Oryzias latipes: one gene and its partners. The protein of the gene in region 1 interacts with the protein of each later gene in a pairwise test. Links are inferred from orthologs where the notes say so. Each region holds a gene or a part of one and is shown on either strand. Other genes may lie near its edges. The genes, in order: cep19, fgfr1op and calcium-binding and coiled-coil domain-containing protein 1.

What was found.
Region 2: the proteins of cep19 (region 1) and fgfr1op interact in binary tests that used the Homo sapiens proteins (3 or more experiments, as listed by UniProt). The two-hybrid records come from large-scale screens. The link is inferred for Oryzias latipes from reciprocal best matches to the Homo sapiens genes CEP19 and CEP43.
Region 3: the proteins of cep19 (region 1) and calcium-binding and coiled-coil domain-containing protein 1 interact in binary tests that used the Homo sapiens proteins (3 or more experiments, as listed by UniProt). The two-hybrid records come from large-scale screens. The link is inferred for Oryzias latipes from reciprocal best matches to the Homo sapiens genes CEP19 and CALCOCO1.

The regions. Positions count from the first base shown.
Region 1 is NC_019862.2:3,243,686-3,247,032, reverse strand, and holds cep19 (centrosomal protein of 19 kDa), read left to right. Parts: upstream 1-1,224; 5' UTR 1,225-1,326; coding exon 1,327-1,456; exon of another isoform or gene 1,457-1,482; intron 1,483-2,174; coding exon 2,175-2,518; 3' UTR 2,519-2,786; downstream 2,787-3,347. Other genes in the region: pigx (phosphatidylinositol-glycan biosynthesis class X protein), read right to left, coding at 1-185, 307-442, 519-603, 830-893. UniProt on the Homo sapiens protein: Required for ciliation. Recruits the RABL2B GTPase to the ciliary base to initiate ciliation.
Region 2 is NC_019882.2:22,955,338-22,959,554, forward strand, and holds the start of fgfr1op (FGFR1 oncogene partner), read left to right. Parts: upstream 1-1,295; 5' UTR 1,296-1,365; coding exon 1,366-1,449; intron 1,450-3,302; coding exon 3,303-3,356; intron 3,357-3,427; coding exon 3,428-3,482; intron 3,483-4,217. UniProt on the Homo sapiens protein: Required for anchoring microtubules to the centrosomes. Required for ciliation.
Region 3 is NC_019865.2:12,634,956-12,638,609, forward strand, and holds part of calcium-binding and coiled-coil domain-containing protein 1, read right to left. Parts: intron 3,455-3,654; coding exon 3,367-3,454; intron 3,230-3,366; coding exon 3,018-3,229; intron 2,785-3,017; coding exon 2,693-2,784; intron 1,209-2,692; coding exon 1,181-1,208; 3' UTR 1-1,180. UniProt on the Homo sapiens protein: Functions as a coactivator for aryl hydrocarbon and nuclear receptors (NR). Recruited to promoters through its contact with the N-terminal basic helix-loop-helix-Per-Arnt-Sim (PAS) domain of transcription factors or coactivators, such as NCOA2.

The DNA of each region.
Region 1 (3,347 bases):
AGTTCAATGTGAACAGGAGTAAAGGTTTTCCCATCAAAGGAGGGCTTGTGGTAGCGACCATGAATAGGAATTGTTACTTTTAGCGGATTGGGAGTTGGTCCGGCATGGGAGGGAAACACGTAGGTGGAAAACTCTGAAGTCCTGTGGGCTGGCTCTTCTAGGTCGATAGCGGTATTAAACAACATCTTTTAGTGATAGAGACAGAAACATGCACCTCAGTAAAACACAAAAAACACCATTTAACATTAATTTGGAGATTTTAAATTCTCAGTGTAAATTAAACTTGAGAGATCTTTTCGATTCAACCTGCCAGCCACGTTGATGACTCAGAGATGCAACTTGATATGGGTCCACATAGACGTCCCTGGGCCACCTGTAAACCAACAAAGCTCTGACATCCGCCGGAGTCTCACTGCCAAGCTCAACGGTGGTCACCACCTCCCTGCACAGCACAAAGAAAGGACTCACAACATTTGAAACACTTGTTTCACTGATTCTGAACACGTGTTTCCAAGCACCTGTGAAAGCCCTTATGGCTGAGCTCCACATACAACGAGGGTTGGAGGCCTTTCAGGAAAAAGCAGGGCTCCTGATCACCATTTCCTAATAATAAACAAAAACGACGTTTAAATTATTCTGTTCAGTTTTTTTTTCTGACTTAAGCTTGTTTAATAACCTTTCATATGCATGTTCCACATTCCAACTGAGATGTATTTAGTCAGAAATAGCATTACCAATTAAAATGTATGGTTGAGAGAACTTATCTGTACATGTATCATTATATCATTCACCACCGTGTTTTCGAGGCAGGACGTTTTACATTGCTTACCCTCTTTGAGCAAACAAACACACGGAGCTGAACAGAAAAAAAGATAAAAGCGTAAATAGTACATTAAAAACTCCAGTAAAATGAGCACTAAATAAAATACTGAATGTTCGTTTATTCGAATCAAGAAAGTGTTTCAGGAAGTGTTTTGTGAAGGACCCTTAGCAAGCTTAGGATGGCTACAATTGTGCCTGTCTAAAAACACGTTGGCTCGCGGTTTTCATCCGCATAATAAACAAAACAAAAACTTTGACATGGGATAACAAATATACACATATTTAACATAACCATTATTTATATATACAATTAATTTTAAAGAGTAAACATTGAGGAATTCTAAACAGGCGCAAGCGAAGTCCTTCGTGTTAGCAGTTGGTGGTAGGCTACCGAGCATCAACACTTCTACCTCTGTGCTGCTAGTTATGTTATTTAGCTAAGTCGCATCGCTGCGCTAGAAGTGTTTAAATGAAGACCAAATAAATACATTTGGGGCAAAGGAGATGCGTTTTGAGGCAAAGCGATGCGGCGTGCGGTTTAACCCACCGTCCATAGTTTTAGTTTATGTAAATACGGAGACCAAAAAGCTGCGGAAAAGAGTAATACCCATAAGAAACTTTACAAAGCTGTCAGGTAAAAAAGCAACAACATTATTTTGTGATTTTTATAAATTAACGAAACAGTGTGATAAAGAAAGTACGATGATCCGGCCTTAGTCTTTCTGTAGCCCAAACCATTGCAGTGATTTCTTTTGGGGTCCTGATTGTTGTCGTAAGCATGATGATGCTGAGGCCTCCTGACATCAGAGCCGTCTAATTCGGATGATAAAAAAGTAGAAAAAAGTATTAATTTGTTACTTCTCCTTTCCAAATTTTACATTCATAAGTGCAGAATAAAAAAACAACTCCCAACTTCACCATATTTAAGTTCGAGATGCTCCAGTTTTATGAATATATAAAAAAAATTAATACACCCAAAGCAAGTAACACTGAAATAATTTGTGCTTTTTTGTTTGATAGGTAATCCCCTCCTCTAAGAAAACTTTGTATTATAAATATTATTATTATCATTATTTTGTAATCCCCTTTTATATATTTTAAGATAATTTATTTTTCTATCAGCATATTCTATTTTGGATATATTTCTGATTATTTTATTATTATTATTTTTTTCTTCTTGAAATGATTCAATAAGTTTGGATTGATGACATTGACTATCACTGCTGATGCTCTTTCTGAGTCTTTGATGCTGGATTTTGTATGCTTATGCTTTGTTCAATAAAGTTGTAAAAAAAAAAAAAAAAAAAAAAACATCAGAGCCGTCTTCCTCACCGTGTCTCCTCTGACTCCAGACTGCTGCATGGCTGCAGAGCAGCTGAAGGAGCACCCTCGGCACAGGGACTACCTGGAGGCGGTCTCCCAGGGCCAACTAGAGAAGCTTCACATCCTCCTCCAGGATCACCTACGTGGTTTGAGCCTGAAGCACAGCCTCTCCACCTTCCACCTGGACCCGGACGAGGACCTCAACAAACTAGATGACAAGGAACTAGCTCGCAAAAAAGCTCAAATGGACAGAGAGTTTGAGAGAAATAGGAAGCACAAGGATGATCCAGGCTTTGTTTATGACCTGGAGGTGGATTTTGAAAAGGCCCCTCAGGAGAACTGTAGCTGGGATGAGTCAGATGACGGATTTTAAAGCTCCCCGCCAAGGAACACCAACTCCAAAATCACACTAAAATAAAATCTCCATAGGCCTCTACATCTTCCATTTAATCCAATGACTGTAAACCAGAACACGTCAGAAGAAATTATCTCAAGCTCCCTTCTTGTCAAAGTTACCACTGACCGAATGAAGGGAAGTGAATCAACAGCAGCGTCTTGAAATGCAACACAAATAAAGACTAAAAGGACCGAAATTGTGATTACCAGTGAAAATTTATTTGTTATAAAATACAGAGTTGAAGAAAATACATAAACTTTGGTTCAAACATTTGTGGCTTACAAAACATGATTTTCAGTCAAACATTAGGAAGAATCTAAACTTCTATTAAATAAAATCTGAATGTATAGTAGTATTTCAACAATAAAACAAATCTCTTTGGAAACATTTCTACAAAATATTGACTTGTATAAAATATATAGTTCCATGGAAGGTTGGACAGTGTTTCCCTTCCATCTCTATTGGCCCGACAGACTTTTCAATGGTTACGTGTTACAGCAAAGGTTCATGAACTACAGATCACACCCAGCCTGCAGGATCATACTTCTTCAGGGTACTTTCTTCAAAGTGCTTGAATACCTCATATTCAGGTGACCGGAGACACCCACAGTACCACAATACATTCAAAAATGTCGTAGGCGTTTTGACTTGGACACAGTCTGAGTTCTAACTTTGTGCTTGTCTTGGTGTGAGCGAATTGAAAAAGAACAGAAGTAGTACTTGTTTTAAGCACCACATTTAACTGCAGTGTAAATGTTAATCCAAAGGAGGTAGTAACAAAAAAAAAAAACATCATTCCTTTTTT
Region 2 (4,217 bases), on another chromosome or scaffold:
CCAAACATCACTATCAATAATTTACATTTATGTCAGAGATAAAGCACGACGACAAAATGGTCAAAGATGAAAGTATTTCCTCTGCTTTGAAAACAATATGGTTCTACTTCAAGGAATTTTCATTTATATTTTTTATTAGAACTTCAAAAGATCACATAAATTTTCACATGGATAGAACAGAAAGAAATACAAATGTAGACAATAATAAAATACAACATAATAAAATAAAATTAGAATTGAGCCTAGTACAAATGTCATAATATAATATTAAATTATGGATTGTTATACAGCATGTTATCTATCATGAAAATGGATAGTTTTCTTGCATTTTTGTTTATCATAAATGTCAGTGATTGAAAATATAATATCTCTTTATGAAATGTATTAAATAATAGTTTTATTGCTAAGAATCTGCTTTTATTAATGAAAAAATTACCAGATATTAATAGTGTTTTAAATGCCAAATTAAATAATTTATCACCAGAATTTACTCCAAATAATACGATGTGTTTTTGTAGCTGAATAAGAATAGGAAAAGGAGACTTTGAACAGCACCAACAAAAAAACTCCCCAAAACTGTTATAACATAACATATACAGTATACATTCAAAAACAGATGATCAAGTGTTTCTATATTGATCTCATAAAAATAACAGTTATTTTCTGGAAAACCAAAGCGTAGTTCATGGTTATTAAATGGATTTCTTTGTATTTTGCAAAAATCTGATATTTAATAAATTTAGATCTAAACTTGCACATTTCCTCTTATGTGAAATGATGAAACAGTTCTCTAACAAAGACTGTTTAATGAGTTTGAAAGTTTTGAATAAAGCGATTGACCATCAAACAACAGAGATGGAAGCTGAACTTGAACATCATGAACCAGACTGGAGGACATTTGGACCAAAGTCTGAGGGATTGCTTTGATCACATTGTTATATTGTTTTTCTATAATTTAATTTAAACTTACAGGAAACACTTTTAAATTAAATAATGTTTCCATTATAATTCATGATGTGTGATAATGACCAAATACCGTTATCAATCCAATTTTTGTAAAATATTGATTTGTTATCCCATAAAATCTACCAACAGTTACATATGGGAGAGTTGTGTTTAAATATGAGTTTCCTGATGATAAGTACAAGTTTAACAGAAAGATTTCTGTAGTCAAAAATCACATTTTAGCATGAACTCATTACCCCCTAAATGAGAGATCAACTTGACGGTGTCTGGAGGCTCCAGCTCCTCCAGGGCGACAGGGGGCGCTCTTAGTTTAACGCAGAAGGAGAAGAAGAAGAAAAGGAGGAAGAAGAGACACACACACACACCTGCGGTTTTCTGTTAGCATAGCTTCAGGTGAACATGTCTGCTGCGGAAGATGACACGGAATTGCGGGACCTGGTGATCCAGAACTTGGAGAATAGTGGAGTCCTGAACAAGATGAAGGTGCGCGGATCAAATCCAAACAGAACGGTTGTCTGGTTCGTCAGCGCTCTCTGCCGGGCTGAACGTTACGTTGGCTTTATGCACAAATCCTAATTTACGCATGCACAAAGCAAGAAGAATATGCATACACACAAATCCTAATTTACGCACAAATCAAGAATTACGCACGCACAAATCCGACTGAGTCTAATTTCTCTCCATACAAGGCCATCTAGTGCCCTGAAATTTAAAAGCAGTTTGGACACCATGATGCTCGCTATGTTAATATAAAAGATTTTCATAATCATTTACTGTTAAACCTGAAGGTCACTTTACTTCTGCTTGAATTTTACTTTTGCTATTTATTAAGTCTTTTTTTGCTGCTGCAGACAAAATAATTTCCCCATCGTGGGATAAAGTCTTAACTTATCTAATTACTTCTTCTTCTTTTTTTTTCAAACAGCGAAGTAAAAATCTCATTGATAGGAGTGTTTTGCGACGATCATTTATGAATCCACTGAGTTCTGAAAATGAAAACGTTGATGGTTTATTAAAAAAATACATTTAAATGCAATTTTTTCGCAAAAATTGTTCAAGCGCAATGTATTGTGGTCTTTATTTGCCAATCTAGTGAGCATCGAATGGACACTGGTTTTGTTCAGAGATTTCTGGGAAATTTCTTAGGCACTTGATTTTGGAATAGTAGATTTGGACAGCACATCAGAATGGTGAACACACTATATAGTGCGTATTGAAGGAATTTGGACAAAGCCTAAAATTCCAAAATCCACTGCTCTGGAAATTTCCCACAAATTTCTGCAAAGAACTAGTGTTCATCTATGTTAACAAGGATGGCAAAAATAGACCACTGTCAGGAGTCTTCCTGGATGCTGCACACCTGACTCTTATTCATTCAATCAACCACAGCAAACTTAAGCTCCGCACTGAGTGAAGCTCAGTGCAAAGTATAGTTCCTGCCTTCATTACTGTGCGTTATATCTGGACTTGATCTTATGTCTTCTGACCCTGACTCTGTTTGCCTGCCGCCTGCCCCGACCCTCGCCTAGATTTTGACCACCCTGTCTCTCCACTGATGATCTTATGCCTGTTATCAACTCCTGCCTGCTTGACCCTGATTTAGCTTTGTGGACTTTTAGCTGAGCTAATAAAGCTGCTGCACTTGGATCCAGCCGTCGGCCTGTTCTTGTCACAGACCACAATGCGTTGTGTTTGCACAGTTTGTCATTTGAAAAAGGTTATGTAAATTTAACGTATGGATTCATACGTTGTCTTTGTTAAATATTCAAATCTATTAGGTTTTTACTTCTGCAAACTGATGTTATAGGTGTTGTTTTAAAAAAGAAAAAAGTGACTCTGAATTGCATCAAAATCTAGATACTGGATGGTCCTGCACTTTGTAATCATTTAGGGTTAGGGAGAAGTGAGAGAATGCAGACATAGTCCATGCCTGCTGGAAAAATGTTCTTTGGACAGATGAGACTAAGTGATGAAGAGAAGACCTGCTCAGCTTCAACCAAGTACAGCATTCAAAGAAAAGATCCTTATAACAACTGTGCAGCACAGAGGTGGAAGTGTCATAGTTTTGGGATGCTTTGCTACTGCAGGACCTGGCCACCTCACCATCAAAAAATCTGTCATAAATGTTACCGTGTGTCAGGTTAAAAATTAAATGGATGGATAGATAGATACTGAATGACTTTATTGCCCCTCCTCCTTCTGCTGTACTGACTTTGTTTCAAACATTTGGTTAGAACTGAAGCTGCACTTTGAATTTAAAGAACTGTCAAAAGGAATGTTGATGGATTGGAGATGAAGGGCGGCTCTCATGCTGCTGCTTGTCTTTGCTCCTGCAGGCGGAGATGAGGGCTGCAGTGTTTCTGGCCATGGAGGACCAAGATAGACTGGAGGTGGGCCTTGGTCCTGAGTGGACTCTCCACTCTTGGCTCCTCTCTCACCTGCTTTTCCTTTTCGTCTTCAGAACAAAGTCCCGCTCGTCAATGAAAGCCTAAAGAAGTGTCTGAACAGCAGAGACGGTGAGTTTTGATGCTGTGGGCTCTGAGTGCTGGCTGCTCTAAGCCAACAAGAGGAATGGAATCAGTATGAACTCATCATGAAAAAGTTGGATAGAGCAGGGTCACATAAACCCACTTTGATTATTGTGAAAGGTACAACAGTTTAGGAGGGGGAAAAAAGTTTGTTGTCCTCAGTGCCGTCGTTTAATAATGTCGAGCCTCTGGTAGCCCAAATAATCTGTCATAATCAGAGGAGCACACGATCAAAAACCTGATCTGATTAAAAAAAAACTGGCTAATCATTCATCACACTGAGGCAGAGAGAGAGTAGGTTACTGATGTGAAAGAGGGGCGGGGAATGGCCATGCCTCTCTGCTGCTGCCCGTTGTCTCCTCTCTCCCCCTAGCAGCTACTCACCGGGTCCAGCTCTGGTCTTTAGAGTCAAATCAGGATCATCTTAAAGTGAATGAAAAACCAGATTGAACATTATGGAAAAATATTTAAAGACTCATCCCTCCTCTGGTGTCGGCATAGAGCCGACCAAAAAAACAAGGGTTTTCCATATTTTCCGGTCTTCTGCAAGAAGTATCCTTCAGTATCCTTCATATCAACCCCATGAGGTTTAACATCTCCTACAATGACGTCTGTCCACCAAGGACGGGGTTTGCCTTGAGGTCATTTCCAGCCCGCAGCCCCTGGATTAAACAGCAAAATGGCTTGCGTCGGATGGTAAGAGGGTAAACTGAAGACGTGGCC
Region 3 (3,654 bases), on another chromosome or scaffold:
GAACAGAAATGTTCAAAAAAATAAACTGAGCATCCATGGATCCTTGTTTAATCTAAAAACACTCCTAGAATAAAAACAGTGTGCAAAACAGCAGGTAAAATTAAGCATCTAGGCATCTATAGTCAGATTTCTTAGCCTAGCAAGGAAGCTGCTGTTCCACAATCCACGCACATCTATTACAAACCTAACCTGAATATGCTTTAACTGCAGCTAAACTTTGACTAAAAAACATTAAAAAATGCATAAGGTATTGATTGAACACAGGCAACATTTCTTAATAGGCAGCGCATCGCCTTAAATCCGGCTTACAGCTTTCGGCACACATCTAGAACTGCATGGGTGAATCAGTGAATTAAGCTGAAGTTAAGCATTCAAATACACACCTTAAGGATTGTAGTAGTTGTTAAAAGAGTCTCTTTTATTAACAAATATAAATTGCATTTGATCTATAGCGAAAGGCTTCTAAGATCATTTTGATGTGTAAAGCTGTGTGACGTCTACAATTACACAGTCAGCTTAGGAAGCTGTGGTTCAAAACCCCGTCCACTTCTCTTAAATCACTTCTGCTGCTACAATCAACTACTTATGCCTTCAAGAAAGTGCATATCAAATCTTGGTTCTGAAGAAAATAAGAGAGAAATATGGTGTCTTAGATCAACGTTATTGCAGTATATTTAAGCATGACGCGGCATCATTACTTCACGATGCTTTAAAAAGTGTCTGAAGGAGCCGTACAGAATTTAATGCTGGATTCTTGTGATTTTCACCGAAGCCGGTCCTGCACAAAACATTGTTATTACAGTGCCTGTCGCGACTCTTAATCACGATTGCCATAAAAATGACATAACATCTATCGTAAAGCTCTCCACATAACAATGATTCAACAATAATCATTGTGCTACGGTGTGCAAACTCTCAAACGACAGGGTCCCAGCCCCGGAGCTGGTTGCTCCGGTTTCTTGTGTCAACCGTAGAAAATAAAAAAGCTCACCTGACACCACTGGCAAAAAGAGCCAAGGTAATAACACAACAGTTATGAGGGAAAGAAAAAGGAAATCTGAGAAGTTTGATATGTTGGAACTGCAGATTAAAACCTTCGTTTTGAACGAACGGGGACTATAAACGGACATCAGAGGAGAAGAAACTTGAAGTCCGGATGCCCATCTCCTGTGGTTGGCTGTTACCATAGCAAAGTGTCAGCCATATTGCTGGAGAAAGACACAAAGAAGAAAGCGTGCATGTTAAATAAAAAAAAAAAAAGGGAAATAAACCCACATTGTGATTGAAAAAGGATGAGAGGCTGAGTGGGAGAGGGAGAGTCTTAATGATGCTGAAAATTGGCCCATGACTGCGGTCCACCTGTCAGGTAAATCATCACAAGAGCTCCCTGTCAACTTGTCTGTCCCTGTGTCCTCCCATCTTTCCCGTCCTACGCCCCCTGTCTAAAACGGTCTCCCCCACGTCACCCTGACTCCACTTCTTTTACAACCACATATTCAAAACTTCCATCTCCGAGCCACAGTCACCGTAAATAACGGGTTGCATTGGTGTGAGTGCATTCAAAAGCGTTGCCTTTTTCTGAGCGCAGAGATGGAAAGTGACAGAGGACTCGCGTACTGTGCTTTGTGAGGTTTAAAGTTTCTAAATTTGAAAGAGATTTTTGCTTCAACTTATCCACATCCCCGAAAAGAAGAGAGCATTTCTTACTCCACTCCATTTAGAGGGCGGCTTTGTTCTCAAGATGCTCGCAGACTTAAAAAGTGTACACACAAATCAAGTCACGAGCTCATAAAATATGACACGTCGCTGCTGTTAAAAACCAGCCACCGTGACAAAGGAGAGACGCTAATTGTCTGACGTCAGGGAAGTTTTCAAATGCAAATCTGAATTTCTCTGAACACTAAATCTTCACCTGTGTTCAAGGTGTTGCGGTCATTCCAGCTCTGCGCCTGGTGATCCTTCACTCTTTATTGAGGGGAATATCCTTCAGCGTACTGAGAGGGCTGACAAGCCATCCTTTCTGCCTTTCAGAGGCTATAACACTAGCAGCTTATGAAACTGTTAGATCATTTCTGACATTTCAGCATTCATATGCTAAAGGCTGTGCTTAAGAAATAAATGAGTAAGTAGGACTAGAACAGTCTACCTATAGCATTTAGAGTACCTCTAGCTGTACTGCAAGAAGAATGCCAATCTACTGTAATGTTTTCCTAATGAAGCTTTTCTCTGCAGATAAATGACTTTTCAGTTTGACATATTTTTTTAATTTCTTCTTGTGAAGTATACTATTTTAGTCACCTGACAGTGAATTTTAACCATCATGTGATGTACTTTTAACATTATTTATGGAGCATAAATGAAGTTTAAGATGGATATTGGGAAGGGGGCGGGGTTGCTCCATGTCAACAGTCCCGCCCACATCTCGGGGGTAATTTTCTGATGAACTACTGCTGCTCTACAGAAATTATGTCCTTGAAAACAAGATTAAAAAAAAAATCTTTAGCTAAAAACAGCATAATCATAATTAAAAGATCACTGGGAACAGTTTTACAATAGATTAAAAATGACTGGAGTGGGACTTTAATGTTTAATTATAAAAAAGAGCAGAATTGTTTCCTTTTGTTTGAATAATTGTAGGGTAAAGTTAAAATAAAAAGGTCGACAGAGGAGTCATTTCTTTGGAGGGTTGTACCTGAGAGCGTCAGTGGTGTGCTGGGACAACAAAAATGATGTTTCCTCTCTGTACTCCTTCCTTCCATTCTGGACTGAATCCGATTCTTCCTCCTAAATCCCACAAGAACACACACATACACACAAACACTTAACTCGAGCAGCTATTACAGTCTAATAACTTGCAAACTAGGGACCTAATTGCTTCCGCAAGATAACGTCCAAATCAAACGACCCACTGCCCGTGTTTAACTGGTTTGCACGCCTATCTGCATGACCACGTATAATGATGCTGCTATGAATGGCTCTGATGAATTGGAGTTGTGTGGGAGAGTGCCAGCACTGGCCTGATGCGGCAGGGAAAGAGGGGCTGGCTGGCTGATGACCACTAGTCTCCAGTTCGCCTCCTTGGGGGACTGAGGGGGTGTTGCAAGGTGCAAGGAGTCGGGCTGGCCGTGCTCGCAAAGGCTGTAGTGTCCAACGTTTTGGGGTGGATGGTGGATTTCTAAAGGCTCCGGGCTCTCATCCTCAGACTCAGATGGCACACTGGCAGGACTGCCTGCCACATAGACAAAAGGAGAGAGGTCACCCATCTTCACGACACATGTCCAACTGAGCTGCATTTAGTTCAGTTCAAGATAAGATATTGGTTTTGTGCGCAGGTTAAACCAGCAGTTTAAGTGCTGCTCAAACTACCTGAAGAGGCGAGCGGTGCAGCTTCCCAGCTGGTACTGGCCGCCATTCCAATCTTCTGCTCCAGCTGACAGATGTAGTCCATCAAATCCTGCAGAGCAAAAGAACACAGGCTTCACATCACAAAGCAGGGCAGTACTTTAATCATGAACTCAGCAGCCATCACCCTTACAGGCCTGATGATTTCTGACTTTTTTAGGTGAAAGCCTTATAAAACTGTTGAACATTAAACACTAACAAAAATCAACATTTATTATGAAGCAAATAACATTATCTCTTTACAATGAACGG